Daphnia pulex: one gene and its partners. The protein of the gene in region 2 interacts with the protein of the main gene of each other region in a biochemical or structural test. Links are inferred from orthologs where the notes say so. Each region holds a gene or a part of one and is shown on either strand. Other genes may lie near its edges.

Region 1 (5,541 bases), on a different chromosome or scaffold from region 2:
GGGTGAACATACATCGAATTCGATCATGCAAAAACCCCCACATAATCAAAATTTCTATTTGCTGGTTTCCGGATCGGCAGCCTTCGCCTCGGAGTCTTGAGATTTAATTTCCAAATTTTTAAATTGCTTGGCCAACTTGTCGCACTCCTTTTTGTGGATAGACCAGTGCAACTTTTGACAATCGCGGTTGCAATATTGCACAGATTTGCATATGGAACACTTGCTGGCTACCTTCTCTTGGCCGCAAGTGGCACAGGCGTCGTCATCTTGAAATCCACGCTGACCGTTGATGCAGGAAGTGAGAAGATTGAGAGCTAGTGGAGTCTCCTCTTTTGTCTTGGACAGATTGACCAGCAACTGGCGGAAGATGGTCGTCTCCTTGAAAGGGAAAGTGCGGATCGACTCGCGGATGAAGTTGTCCATAAACTCGGGAAAACCATCGGATTGACGTTGCTTCAAAAATGCTTTAACATATTGATTTAATAACTCCAAAACGGTTTTGTCGGGGTGCTGCTGCTGCTCTTTGGCCATTCTTTCGACTAGGAAACGCAAATAGTGGTATTTAAGTGCGAGGATCTCGTTGACTTCTTGGCTGCGCTTCATCTGATTTTCGCTAAGTATCTCCAAGACGTTTTTCACTTTTGTGAGGTTATCGTAAAGCAAAGGAAGTTTTTGAATAGTCAACAAAAGGTGAACTGGATGCAGATTGACCTGATAAATCAAACAAAACAAAAAGTTCAAGTGCTTTTCCGTGGCAGAATAAGAAATGAAGTGATGTGTCTATTCAAGTGCACAACCTGCATCACAAATTTGTGCAAAGCTGGTGCAGCAGCTGGTGGCAATTTTGGCTCAGTTTGATCGCTAGGAGCTACAGTGTACTGCTCTATTTCTGAGCGTGGAATGAAATTGTTGATGATGGAAACAACTGTGTGATTCCCTGGTTTGCCAAAATAATTCATTTTAGTTTTGGATGATTTGTACAAACATTATGATTGACTAGCCTACCTACAAATGCAGCCATTTGAGCTGCAGTTCTGCCTACTGAGTTAACCACATCAGGTTTACAACCACACTGAAGTAATTGTTGACAAATATCCAAATTTCCAGACAGAGCTGCAAAATGAAGGGAAGTATACTTGTGTTCATGATGACCTCCATTGGCATCAGCTCCCTTCGAGAAAAAAAGTCAACTTTTCAATCAAATTAACAACATTGATAATATAGTTAGACTTACCAGGTCAAGGAGCAACTGGCAAATATCTTTTTTCCCTTTAAAAGCGGCATGTTGCAGTAATGTCATTCCATGCTCATCCTCATCGTCAATTTCAACGTCCCGGGATTTTATAAGTTCTTGCAAACCACTAGTATCATTGTTGTTAATCTTGTCAATAGCTTTAATAAAGTTTTCCGAAATCATTTTTCGAGATTCTTTGGCAATTAACTCGTTTTTGAAGGAAATCAAATAATTCAGTCACAAATTTTCATATAACGATATAGTTTCCGTTGTCGTCTGCAACTGTTGCTATAACAACCGGACATTTCGAAAAACAAAAAATCCAACAACGCCAAAAATGCGAATAAAACGAAAACTTATTTTTGCTTCGTATGAACCTTTATTTCAGAAAAAAAACTTTTTCATTATTTTTCTTCTTTATATTTTTAGTGGTCTTCATTGAGTTAAAAAGTTTCTTAAACATTCAACGCTGCACGTTCAGCCTTGGTTTCGTTTGTACCACTGTTGTTTTCCCGCCATCGCACTTCGTCGTCTTGTCCGTAAAAACTGCTTAAAAAAATTCAAGCACGTTGACTGAACGAAGTAATCCCCGTTAAAAAAGGTTCCGTAAAATGAACAGAAGAAATCACCCAGCACTAACCAGCGGCGCAATTCCGGTAATATCAATCATAATTTCGAATTTTTGAATAAAACTATAAATATCTTTATTTCGACATAGTCCATCATTGGGAATGGCCTGCACAATGAAACTCCAATTCTACAAGTTTTGGTAAGCAACGAGCAAGATTTTTTCTTCATTTGCAGCATTTTTACATTTTCTTCTCTTACAATAGGGTTACAAAAATCTTCAGGGAGACAATAATGACCGTTACAGAATTCTCATCTCTGATGGAAAGTATTCCTATGCATATGGAATGTTGGCAACACAACTAAATCATCTGATTGTGGATGGTCAGCTTGAGAACTTTACCATCATTAGAGTAAAAAAGTTTGTTGTTAACAAAGTTGCTACTAAGGCAACTGCAGGCAAGGACCAAAAGAAAATTATCATTCTTTTGGATGTTGAGCCAATTGTGCCTGGAAGTGAAGTATGTTCACTTTACTTAGTTTCGAAATACAAATAAGGATATCTCTTCATTTTGAACATTTTTTGTTTAGGTTGGAGAAAAAATAGGAAACCCTCAGACTCTTAATGATGTTGGAGAGGTTACTGAAGAGGCAGCAGCAAAACCTGCACCTTTAGGAAATGTGAACAATTACAATATGGGATCGAAGTCTGCACCACCTAACAAAACTGGTGGATATGGACAGCCAACAGAGAAGTCTGACATTATTACCCATCCGATTGTAAGCCTTACACCCTACCAAAACAAGTATGTTTGTTGAGAAATTTCAGTACAAGAAAAATTGAATCATTAACTTTGCTTGTTTGTAGGTGGACTGTAAAAGTGAGAATTATAAACAAGTCCGATATCCGTACGTGGAGCAATTCTCGAGGTGAAGGAAAGCTTTTCTCGATGGACATGGTGGATGAGACTGGTGAAATCCGTGCCACTGCATTCAATGCCGAGTGTGACAAGTTTTACCACATGATTGAGGTACATTTAATTCAAAAACAGTGTTTGAAGTTATTTATTTACATTGTTATTTTTCGTTGTAGATCGGCAAGATCTTTTACATTTCACAAGCACAACTGAAGGCAGCAAACAAACAGTACAGCAGTATGAGGAACGATTATGAAATGTCGTTCAACCAAAATACTACAGTATGAATGTTTTTCAATCGTCAATCGTACCAGCCTCAATTTTTTTTTCTTTTACTTATTTTTTAGGTAATTCCTTGCCACGATGATACATCAGATATCCCATCAATCTCCTTCAACTTTGTTCCCATTGATCAGCTACCTAGCCTGGACAAGGACAGTGTTATTGGTAAGTTGTCTTTTAGGTGCATTAACATTACAATTCTTCTATTTGAATGGTGCCTACGATATGACCGATTGACCGTGCTTTCAGATGTCATTGGTGTGGTTAAGTCAGCAAATGACGTCCGCGTTATCGTTTCCAAAACGACAAATAAAGAATTGAGGATGCGAGAAGTTCAGATGGTGGACAGTACCAACACAGAGGTATGACTGGATTCTTCGTTTAATTGTCGAGCCCAGTTAATTAATCATTCTTGTCTTCAAACATCAGGTTAATTTGACTTTATGGGGAAAAATGGGCGAGGAATTTGACGCTAGCTCCCAGCCTGTTGTAGCATTAAAAGGAGTGAAACTTTCTGATTTTGGAGGTCGTTCTCTAGGAACAGTCTCGTCTACTGTCGTGCAGGTAAAATCAAATGTAAGACTTTCTATTTCTCTACTATTCTACAGCGCATATTTTTAATAGATCAATCCTGACATGAATGAAGCTCACAAACTAAGAGGGTGGTACGATAACGGTGGCTCATCATCGGCCGCTTCTAGCATTTCGGCGAGTCGTGGCGCTGGCACTGGTGGTAGTGGTGGGTCGTATAAGACTTTCGCTGAAGCAAAATTCGAAAACCTGGGAAAAGATAAACCTGATTTCTACAGTGTTAAGGCTATGGTTGCTATGATCAACAAAGAAAGAGCGTTGTACATGGCTTGTCCCAGTGATGAATGCAACAAAAAGGTAAACATAAATATATAATAAAACAACTCATTTTTGACAATATTTGCGTTTCCCGCAGGTCATCGATCAAAACAATGGCCTCTATCGATGTGAGAAATGCCAGCGCGAATTCCAGGAATTCAAATGGCGCATGATGCTTTCGGTATGACAAAGATATTTTATGAAATCTATTTCTCTCAAAACAGCACTCGAAATTTGTTATAGGTCAATATCGCGGATGCCACGGACCAGCAATGGGTAACCTGCTTCCAAGAAACCGCTGAAACTCTTCTTGGTAATTTTGTTTTCGAACTAATGTTACGTTTAGCATATAATATTTATTTATTTGATTATAAATTTTAGGGAAATCCGCAGACGAGGTCGGTAGATTGAAGGATTCGGATAATAACGAATTTCAGAAAATTTTCGAAGAAGCTACTTTTAAGTGGTATGTCTTCCGCCTGAGAGTGAAAATGGAGACGTACAATGTAAGTCTATGAGCATTATGAATTTCGATCTTGTTATCTGTTGACGCTTTTACCTTTTCTTTAGGATGAAAGCCGCCTCAAAACAAATGTCTATGAAGTGAAGGAAATCAACTATAAAGAGCACAACGAGCGATTGATTCGAGAAATGAAAGAAATGGCTGCATCAGAATGAATGGATTTTCCCTTGCTCCTTATCTATTAAACTTATAAAAAACCTTCATTTTCGGATTATACAGGAACAATTCTTTATGAATTCCTGTTCTTGTGAATCAAATCGAGATCCCGGAAAAACCGTGTGTGTAACATGATAATAAATGATTTGCAAAATAAACATGGATATTACAAAAAATAATTTTTCAGACAACTGCAAATGTATTGTTTTTCGCAGCTCATGTGCAATGAAATATTTCAACCATCAAGAGAGGCAAAGATAGAAATGAAAATAAATGAAGATCACAGTGCAGCTCTCACTGCTCTACAATGAAGTGAAGAGGGAAAGAGGGGGGACCAGTTCAAAATTTTAACTCTGCCTCTTCTCAAGTGTTTATGATGAAAACAGAAAACATTTAATCACTTGGTCTCTTCTCACTGTTTTTTTTTGTAAACTCTTCTGCATTCTTCATGAATTTCTTTTTGTCTTTGGAATACTCTTCAGCAAGATCAGCCCTAAGTGGATGTTCAGGCTCTGGATCATTAACCAAGGCAACCAGCGCTTGTATCACTTGATCAGTTTTGGTGGCAGGCTTCCAGTTTTCAGCACTTATTATGGGCAAACAGACCTGAAAGAAATAAACACACAATAATAAGTATGGCAAAAATTCCAAAAGGCAAATGTTTTTAAGACCTAACAGAAATTGCCAGACAAATAAGATATTTACAAGGTTAACATTGAAATTTTTACCTGTCCCTTTTCATCAATATTTGGATGATAGATTTTTGTCTTGAACGCAATTTTTGGTGGTTTGAATGGATACTCAGCAGGGAAATTTATTTCAATCCGAAAAGCTCCTTTATTGTAGGGAGCATTTTCCTATGAAAAATATATGATGGCTTGTAACCAAGGTAATTCAATCAATATTCATCTAAAAAATTCAGACTCACAGGAACAATAAGTCCATGCCAAGTCAAAATGTTTTGTTCATCAACTTGAATGTCGCGAAAAGATTTCAACCCAGACTTCTTGATG
Region 2 (3,686 bases):
ACTGAAACGAGGAATTGAAAAACGTTTCCCCGACTTGCAGGCATTGCAGATGGAAGCTGCTAAACTCCAACCTAATAAATTGACCACCGACATTCTTGAGTGCTTGAAAGCCAAACTTTTACTTGCTCGTTACTATGAAGAGACTAGCCATGCAGACATGAACACCGTTATCAAGTACTACAAGGAAGTGACGGAAATAAGCAGAACGTGGGAAGAAGGTTTTTTCCGGTTGGCTGGTTATTACGATGTTCTCTACACAAGTTATGACGGAAACAAAGAACAACATCTTGATATGGCGCGTTACATTATCACCAATTTGGGTCGCTCAATGATATACGGAAGCCAATTCATCTATCAGGCGATGCCACGAATGCTTTCCCTTTGGATGGAATTAGGAACCATGGAAGCTGAGAATCCCAAAGTCTTCAAGATCGGCAACTCCAAGGCTAAGATGACCGACGTAACAAAGGCTATTGACAGTGCACAAGAGAAGATCCCTGCTTACAAATTCTTAACGGCATTTCCCCAGTTGATTTCACGAATTTGTCATCCGCATCTAGAGGTGGCTGCTCTCCTGAAGCGAATAATCGCTAAAACACTTGTAGCTCACACGCAGCAATGTATGTGGATGATGATTTCGGTGTTAAAATCATCGTACAGTATCAGGGCCAAGCGTTGCCGAGAGATCATTGATGTAGTGGCTTCTAGCCAAACCAGTTTAAGGAGCTTCTTCGCAGATGCTACCAATCTGGCTGATAGACTCGTCGAATTGGCCAACAAACCTGTCGAGGACGGCATCATGGTTTTGTCTGTGGAAAAAGCATTCAGATCTCTTCCTAAACTACTCAGTCAACCACAATTCAGTAAAATCATGGTTCCGTTGCAGTGGATGATGACGGTAACATTGCCCACAACCCCTGGAGAAAACCTGGAACACAATCCTTTTCCTAGAGATCCTGTCTACATTGTTGGTGTGGAAGATACTGTCGAGGTGATGCACTCGTTACAAAAGCCGAAGAAAATATCCATCCGTGGATCCGATGGGAAATTATACGTTTTCCTCTGTAAACCACAGGACGATTTACGGAAAGATTTTAGGTAAATTTGTTTGTTCTGTATTTTGTATATATATTTTTTTTTAACAAGTTACCATAATGCAGATTAATGGAATTCAACCAACTAATAAATCGGTACTTGGTACGAGATCCCGATTCACGCAAGCGCAATTTGCATATCCGGACTTACGGAGTAATTCCTTTAAATGAAGATTGTGGTCTCATTGAATGGATTCCAAATCTGATTGGTTTAAGATTTGCTATCAACCGGATTTACAAGGAAAGGGGTTGTCTGATGAGCAATACTGAGTTAAGAAAGAGAACACCTCATGTTCGAGATACAATTGTTCGGAAGAGAGAACTGTTTGAGAAAGGTTTGTCATTTGTTGTTGTCTTAAACTTACTCTGAGTCTTAGAATTCTATTTCGTTCTTTCAGAAATCCTGCCACGGTATCCTCCCGTGTTTAGCGAATGGTTCCTGAGTACGTTTCCAGATCCACAAGATTGGTTTTCTGCCAGGCTGAGTTATGTTCGAACTACGGCAGTCATGTCCATGGTGGGATTTATCGTTGGTTTAGGTGACCGACACGGTGAAAACATTCTTTTTGATGCAGTTTGTGGCGATGCAGTCCACGTGGATTTTAGTTGCTTATTTAACAAAGGTTGTTTTCAAGATTGATTTTCTCTCACCTCGGCATAATATTTTTATTTTATTTTTTTTTTACTTCTTTAACTCAGGTCTTTCATTTGAATGGCCCGAGCAAGTTCCTTTCCGTCTTACTCATAATATGATAGAAGCCATGGGAGCTACTGGAATTGAAGGGTCATTCAGGAAGTGCTGCGAAGTGACGCTACGTGTACTAAGACAAGAGATTGACACTCTCCTTAGTGTGCTGAAGCCGTTTGTTCATGATCCACTTGTAGAATGGTCAAAGAAAACAGTGAACAAAGGTCGTTCTGATCTTCCTGAGATAAAAAACGAACAGGTCTAAAATGCTTTATGTTCTCATCACCTGTTGCATTATATTTAATAGATTTTCTTATTTCAGGCCATGGAACACGTCGAGAACATTAAAATGAGATTACAAGGTTATTTACTACAACCAAATTCCAAGAATAAATTGAAATACCGTTTCTCTGTTGAAGGACAAGTAAATCAGCTGATTGCGGAAGCTACCAGTGTGGACAATTTATGCCAAATGTAAGCTGTGCACAGTTTTTAAAATGTTATTATATGCATACTGTTAAATTATCGCATCATCATTTCTGCGTCTTCTAGGTATATCGGATGGGCAGCCTACATGTGATATGGATTTTATATATTCGAGAGCCAATTATTACTTGCCGTCTATCTCAATTTGCGAAGTAGTTCAAATACGTTCTTATCTTTCATTTTCGAATTTTTTCTTCCTCCTAAAGAATAAAGAAATTAATTGTATTTTTAGTCTGCAATAGTCTGTTTCATTTCCACAACTTTTTTGAAATTTGGCATGTAACTTGGGATTAGGGTTAGGATGGTAGCAATGAGTAAAAATCCAAATTTTTTCGTGTCTGAATTGAAATTTGCTATCCACAACACGCATACTTCGAAATCCGTTTTTTTCACTGTTTTTTGACGCTTTTAGTACTTAATTTTTTTTTCAGCTTCGTCACTTAAACAGCTTGTTAAGGACGTAAAGATTAACATTTGAGCCAAAAATTATCCCATTATGTATTGCCATGCATCAAACTTTTGCTATGCGCTCGATATGCGCTGTAGCTGGTTAATCTAAAAATGGGTTTTCTGGCCGAAATAGATAACATAAGGAACTTTCATCTGCTAAGTAATGTTAAAATAATAGATACAATTAAAGCTCATTTAAAAGATATCTTAAAAATATTGAAATTTATTGTTAATTTTCGTATCGCAATAATATCGCGTTTGCTTAAACGAAAGGGAAAACACAAAAAAACTAAATGTTAGCAAGCGACCTTCAGAAATGGAATTTTAATATATTTTAAACGTGAGCATCTATTGTGTCTATTATTTTAACATTACTGTTAAGTTCCTTATGTTATATACGTATTTCGGCCAAAAAACAAATTTTTTGGTTTACCAGCTACAGCGCATAGCAAAAGTTCGATGCATGGCGGGGATAGTAAATCAATACATAATGGGATAATTTTTGGCTCAAATGTTAATCTTTACGTCCTTAACAAGCTGTTTAAGTGACGAAGCTTAAAAAAAAAATAAAGTACTAAGCGCGTCAAAAAACAGGGAAAAAAACCGGATTTCGACGTTTAACGCGTGGCGGGGATAGCAAGTTTTAATTCAGACACGAAAAATTTTTGATTTTTACTCATTGCCACCATTCCCCTCTGCACTGCCGGACCCCTTGATTACATCACATCATACATTTTGATTTGTCCATCATCTTGAAGCTGTTAATCCCTAAAGGCAAAGAGGGGGAAATTTTGTTATTATCGCCAGCGCTAGGTGGCTTATGGGGTGAAGGCCTGTATGGCGAAAAAACGAATAAATTTGGGGGAATTTTTCAAAAATTTCAATTATTAATAACTCGGCTTCTAAACCGAGTATCGAAAAAACATGAAAATTATTTAAAGAGATGGGCTATCCCATTATTTTAAAAC
Region 3 (5,433 bases), on a different chromosome or scaffold from region 2:
GGCCTCTTCCGCATCTTCGAAAAGTTCGAGGTATTTTTCAGGTGTCAGCTGCTGGCCGCTGGCCAAAGAGCTGGGCGTGTAGTCAACTTCGAACGAAACGCTGCTACTGGTCGGTGCTGGACTGTAACTCGGCTCGGTGGATAGAGTCGAGATAGAGCTGGGCGAGTAATCGGCGATTCCAGATTCGAATGTTGAACAACTGGGAGAATACGACGGTTCAACAGAGCTCAATTCTCGAGTGGTTGGCTGGTAGTCGACGTCGCAGTTCAAATTGGACGGAGGGGTGTAGCGATCACTGATGATGTTATCTGAATCCCTACTACTCGGTGTGTAGTTGACGTCGGGAGTGTTTTCTAACGTGGAGGGAGGGGTGTAACCTTCTTCTGTTTTAATTGAGACGACTTTGCTAGGCTTGTAGGTGGCAGTTGAACTAGTGGATGAGTTTCTAGGCACATAATTATCTACTCTAGACGGGATTGAAGTGCTTTCCAAAGTGGATGGTGTATAGGTCTCTTCTGATTTGGCAGCAACCTTACTGCTGGGTTTGTAAGTGGCTACCCGTCCAGAAGATGGTTTTGTGGGTTCATAATTTTCCACTTTCGAAGGGGTTGTTATGCCTTTCTTGAGAACAGCAATGGGCGTAGGAGTATAGGCGGGGGTTCCGACAGGTATGTTGTAGGATTTGTGACTTTTGCTTTTATGGCTAGATTCTCTAGGATTTCCTTCAACTTTCTTGGGACTGACAGGAGGGGCAAGATGTTCCACAACCTTCTCAACCAGCTTCTGCTGGCCAACAAGTTCCATAATTTTGGAGGCATCAAAATTCTCCAAAAGCTGTCCATTTTCCTTTAGGACCCGTTTGACAGCTTCAGACACTATCTGCTCGATTGACGAAGAATTTTCTCCTTCTTGAGATCCTTGAGATGGGCCAGGATCATGAGCTGCAAAGGTATAAAAGCAGTTAGTATTGCTCTTTTGTGTTGCATAATAGACAAAAACATGCATACTTCTGAGGACCACAGTTGGTTTAGGTGCTCGAACAGGCAAGTGTTCGTGTCGGAATTGACAATGTGGCCTCTCACACGACTCATTTTCGAAATAAGGACAGACGATACTTTTGAAGTATCCAACTGACGGAAGCATGCTTCCCCACAGTCAATATTAATTTGCGATAAATCTCCAATCTTCAATTGAAGACGATTAATTAAGAAAAAAAATGACAATAATGAAAAACCAATGCCCTTCTACAAAGGGGAGGCTCTAATGGTCGGTCAAACAATAATATCCGGATTTTTGATTATTTTTTAACGAATTGACATAAAAGATGATTAAATTAAGATAAATAATTTGGGAAAGAGATCTATAATTTTTTATCAAAATTTTAAGCCATTTAAAAAAGTCAAGGTTAAGTCTCGACCAAAATGCCTTGAATTGAAAAATTGACAACGTCTTGTTGTGAAAAAAAAAATTTAGTCTCAGAACAGTGATTCAAGGACATATTACAGACTACGTTCAAATAAAAAATTTCAAACGTGGTGATCGTATATTTCACCAAGTTTCTTATGTTAGATGTGTGACAAGGGTTTTCACAACTGGTTATATCATCTGTTTAAAGATGGACAAAGACACGCAACCCTTGTCGCAGAACACTGACGAAGATACGGAAAATGTAGCGCCGACTGAATCCACCTCGTGGGGATTATTATTTTGGGCCTCTGATCGTGATCTGGACACTGAAAGGCTAAGGTATGATTTTATTTTTTTGTTTCAGTGTTTTGTGAATTAAATTGGGAATTTTTTTATTATTGTCAGGCATGGCAAAGATTTGTACACTGTTGGTCGTCATGTCGCGTGTGATATCGTCATCCATCAAGAAATTACTAAAATCAAAATTGATAATCTTAGTCGAGTACAGTGTGGTTTCAGGAGAATTAGGGATATGACAGCTGATTATCAGACAATCTTAGAAGATTACTCAGCAAATGGAACATTCGTAAATGGTGTTAGAATCGGGAAAGGAAAGAATAAGCTTCTTGCCAATGGTGATGTAATTGCCATGACCTGTTCGAAAGGCAAAGTCTTTACCTACTTGGACACACAGCACAGGAATCCTGGCTTTCCTACCGACATCAACAAGAAATTTGTCATTGTTGAGAATCTTGGAAAAGGGTAATTATTTGTTTAATGCATAAATATTCTTTTGTTTTACGCTGTTTATTTTCTGCAGATCATTTGGGGAGGTATGGTTGTCTGTTCACAAAAAGACAAACAAAAAATATGCCATCAAAAGCGTACGACGTCAACCAAATGGTTTTAACGAGTTGAAACGCAACGAGGCTATACAACAACTGAAGAACGAATCGGAATTGCTCTGTACGCTGGAACATCCTGGCATTGTTAAGGTATCTCATCATCTCATCATGGTTAATTGTAATAGTAATGAAAGCTCTGCATGAAAAATTAGGTTGAAGACAGCATTTGTAAACCCAAATCGATACACCTCGTATTAGAATTGATGAACGGAGGGGACTTGCAGAAACGTATTAAAGATGTGGGTCAGATGGAAGAATCTACAGCAAAATACTATTTTATGCAGTTGGTATTGGCTGTAAAATATCTTCACCAGCAAGGAGTAGTTCACCGGGATCTCAAGCCGGAAAACATCCTGATGTCTAGTCAAAACGAAAACGCCATTCTCAAAGTATTATTTCTCAATCGCTTTCTCGCAGCGTGCGCACATTATTGACGCAACTTTACTTTCCCTTTTTTTAAATTATAGATCTCAGATTTTGGTCTTTCCAAGTTTGTGGATGAAGAGACCGTATGCCAGACCTACTGTGGTACACCGCTGTATCTAGCACCGGAAGTGGCCCGGGATAGGACTTACAAACCATATACGTCAGCGGTCGATGTCTGGAGCCTAGGGGTGATCCTGTTCATTCTGTTATCCGGGTACCACCCATTCATTCATTCACACTCGACTGATGCTAATATTGCCAAAGGTTCATTTCTCCTTTTCTTATCAAGAATTTTGTTTTCCGCCCTTTTTTCTTTTTACTGATCCCGGCATTTTTGACCCAGGTCATTTTCTATTGAAAAAACCAAATTGGAGTTCAGTATCGGCTGAAGGATTGGCATTGGTCAAGCAAATGCTGGAAGTTGACCCCAACAAACGACCTACATTAGAGGATATCCTGGAAGACCCATGGATGAAAGACAGCCAAGTGGTCAGCAGGGTGAATGAAATCGTCTTTGCTGATACAAGTACCGTCGAAAAGCTCCCCGACTCTTTACTCAGTTGCATCCAAGAAAACGAGTCTATTGATGAACCTGTGCCGAAACGACGGCGGGTAACTCCCTAATAAGAAAAATTTCTTTATTATTTTCTCCAGAGAGGCTGTGGTCCGATTATTTTCTCAACAGTTGGCTATTTTTTTTTTCCTTCTTGTTCTCAATACGATCTCTTCATTAAGCAGTTGTATATTTAAAAACGCCTTCCCCTCAGTTTGCCCCCCGTGTTAATTAGTTGGACATGGCCTTTCGAAAGTTTTCATGCATAACAATCCAGTCAGGTTAATTTTTTTTTATTTTTGTGTCTTTTTTGCTGCCGGTAAAGGATAAACGAATAAAAAAGAACTCAGTATTACTAAACCTTGTTTTTAAAAAATGTCTGACCGTAGCAGTTTGAAAGGATTAGACGGAAATCCCTGTAGAACAATTATTGATCGGGTGAACTGTTTTTGGTATTTCTGAGAAATTTTCCGGAACTAGTGACGAAATCCCCTGGTAAATAGTGAAAGCTTAGAAAACGGGTGGGCGAGTTTTAGGTAAGATTGATGGAAGGGAAGGCAACCAGTGGGCGCTATATGTATGAGTATCCTGCTGTCAAAAAGAAAGTTTTTCTTCTCACGATACCCTTAAAAAGCCTTCGAGGCTGATATCCTCCAGCCAGCTCTGCCTCGTTTATCTCTTCTTCTTCTTCATACCTGCAGAAATATGTGAACCCCTCTCCAGGGTCTTCCCCTTTGTCCTGGAGCGCCCATGAAAGAACAGGTTTTTTGTTTCCTTCTTCTTATTGATACTTTTTGTGTTTCTCTTTCAAAGGAAGAAATAAAGAGAGCGTCTGATGGACGACACGATCCATTCGACCTCCAACAGTCTTTTCAAGCACACCACTCCCGGTGACGGAGTTTTTAAAAAATCTATTCGTGACAATTTCAATTCACGCCGGTAAGTGATAATTCAATTTTGATTGCAACTTTTAAAATAATTTTTGGCGAATCGTTTTTCTGTTTAAAAAGCTATTCAAACCAATGATTCACATCCTTTCATTATCTCATTTAATAATTTATAAGACAATCATATGTCTACTCCCGAAAATGAGTTAAGGATTTGATTTGTTCGGTTTGGTTTGCCGTGCACATCGCGTGTTATTCGGTCGCGGGTTGATTCACATAGAAATCTCTCTCGCGTGCTGGTGACTCAGTGTGCCCGGAAGTGTCGTGCCGGAGCTTAAAAATTTTCCGATGGGGAACGAAATTCCACCCACGACGTGAACTGTGGACCCTCTCGCTGTGTTGTTGTTGTTTCCTATTTTGGCTGACTCATTGCACCTTTGTTTTGTCGTATAAAGATACGAACGCAAGTTTCTCGCCTATAGAAGCCGGCAGTCGATGTTTCCTACCAATCATTCCACATCCGACATCAAGACCATGACGATCGTGAGCGGGAAACCGGTGAAGCCAACAGCTACAGAATTGACGACGACAACGACGACAAATCGAAAACCCAAATATCTGGTCGCCGTTTTCAGTGTGGTAAGTGCTCATTATTAATAACATGACTATTACGCAGTTATTTGATTGATTCTTGTTATACACACAGTTAGTGGTTTGCATCGTGGCCGTGTTGGTAGTGACCGTGGCGTCTCAAGCGCGGAACAGCACGAGACAGCAGCAGATGGATGAGGATGCTTACAACAACAATGTAGTTTTATCAGCGACCGAGCTGCGCCATCCACGCTACATCGGACGACCTGTCACGGCTCCCGCTGACAACAGTACAGCAGAGTCCATCATTATGAAGAATGTGAAGGCGTTGGTGATGCGGGTCGTCGTCGGGCCAGCAGAGAAGCTTGGCAACAACAGCAGCGACGGAACATCAGATGCCTCAAGACAAATACTTTATTCAGAGATTGGCAGCGCTGATAAAGAACCGGATTCGCGGGGCGCATCCGGCGTGATTTCAAGGAACAATTGATCTGCAACGAAAGAAGAAAAAAAAAGTGCACAATCAAAACGAAACGTGTAAAGCGTATATAAATACTCGTTTCGTGCTGGCTTCACAGTCGTGAGAATTCCCATCTCCAACACACACACACAAGTCCAACCTAAATAATGTATTGGTACTCGTCATGCTATATTTTTCGAAAAA

What was found. The genes of interacting proteins can lie anywhere in the genome.
Region 1: the proteins of serine/threonine-protein kinase ATR-like (region 2) and replication protein A 70 kDa DNA-binding subunit-like form a complex in vitro, tested with the Homo sapiens proteins (2 studies listed by BioGRID, with this or other methods). The link is inferred for Daphnia pulex from reciprocal best matches to the Homo sapiens genes ATR and RPA1.
Region 3: of the proteins of serine/threonine-protein kinase ATR-like (region 2) and ovarian-specific serine/threonine-protein kinase Lok-like, one has a biochemical effect on the other in vitro, tested with the Homo sapiens proteins (2 studies listed by BioGRID). The link is inferred for Daphnia pulex from reciprocal best matches to the Homo sapiens genes ATR and CHEK2.

Annotation. Positions count from the first base shown.
Region 1 is NC_060017.1:3,018,586-3,024,126, reverse strand, and holds replication protein A 70 kDa DNA-binding subunit-like, read left to right. Parts: upstream 1-1,721; 5' UTR 1,722-1,845; coding exon 1,846-1,890; intron 1,891-1,952; coding exon 1,953-2,003; intron 2,004-2,067; coding exon 2,068-2,322; intron 2,323-2,392; coding exon 2,393-2,607; intron 2,608-2,669; coding exon 2,670-2,832; intron 2,833-2,894; coding exon 2,895-2,999; intron 3,000-3,065; coding exon 3,066-3,165; intron 3,166-3,249; coding exon 3,250-3,362; intron 3,363-3,429; coding exon 3,430-3,564; intron 3,565-3,624; coding exon 3,625-3,888; intron 3,889-3,946; coding exon 3,947-4,030; intron 4,031-4,092; coding exon 4,093-4,162; intron 4,163-4,230; coding exon 4,231-4,355; intron 4,356-4,419; coding exon 4,420-4,527; 3' UTR 4,528-4,707; downstream 4,708-5,541. Other genes in the region: ankyrin repeat and MYND domain-containing protein 2-like, read right to left, coding at 55-711, 798-937, 1,006-1,171, 1,235-1,417; ubiquitin-conjugating enzyme E2 L3, read right to left, coding at 4,922-5,134, 5,257-5,385, 5,457-5,541. UniProt on the Homo sapiens protein: As part of the heterotrimeric replication protein A complex (RPA/RP-A), binds and stabilizes single-stranded DNA intermediates that form during DNA replication or upon DNA stress.
Region 2 is NC_060021.1:4,777,708-4,781,393, reverse strand, and holds the end of serine/threonine-protein kinase ATR-like, read left to right. Parts: coding exon 1-1,098; intron 1,099-1,160; coding exon 1,161-1,429; intron 1,430-1,492; coding exon 1,493-1,717; intron 1,718-1,793; coding exon 1,794-2,041; intron 2,042-2,104; coding exon 2,105-2,256; intron 2,257-2,334; coding exon 2,335-2,362; 3' UTR 2,363-2,493; downstream 2,494-3,686. UniProt on the Homo sapiens protein: Serine/threonine protein kinase which activates checkpoint signaling upon genotoxic stresses such as ionizing radiation (IR), ultraviolet light (UV), or DNA replication stalling, thereby acting as a DNA damage sensor.
Region 3 is NC_060027.1:1,226,657-1,232,089, reverse strand, and holds the start of ovarian-specific serine/threonine-protein kinase Lok-like, read left to right. Parts: upstream 1-1,613; 5' UTR 1,614-1,615; coding exon 1,616-1,746; intron 1,747-1,812; coding exon 1,813-2,169; intron 2,170-2,227; coding exon 2,228-2,402; intron 2,403-2,464; coding exon 2,465-2,701; intron 2,702-2,779; coding exon 2,780-3,002; intron 3,003-3,081; coding exon 3,082-3,362; 3' UTR 3,363-4,230; intron 4,231-4,633; exon of another isoform or gene 4,634-4,660; 3' UTR 4,661-4,817; intron 4,818-4,884; 3' UTR 4,885-5,433. Other genes in the region: RNA exonuclease 1 homolog, read right to left, coding at 1-941, 1,008-1,143. UniProt on the Homo sapiens protein: Serine/threonine-protein kinase which is required for checkpoint-mediated cell cycle arrest, activation of DNA repair and apoptosis in response to the presence of DNA double-strand breaks.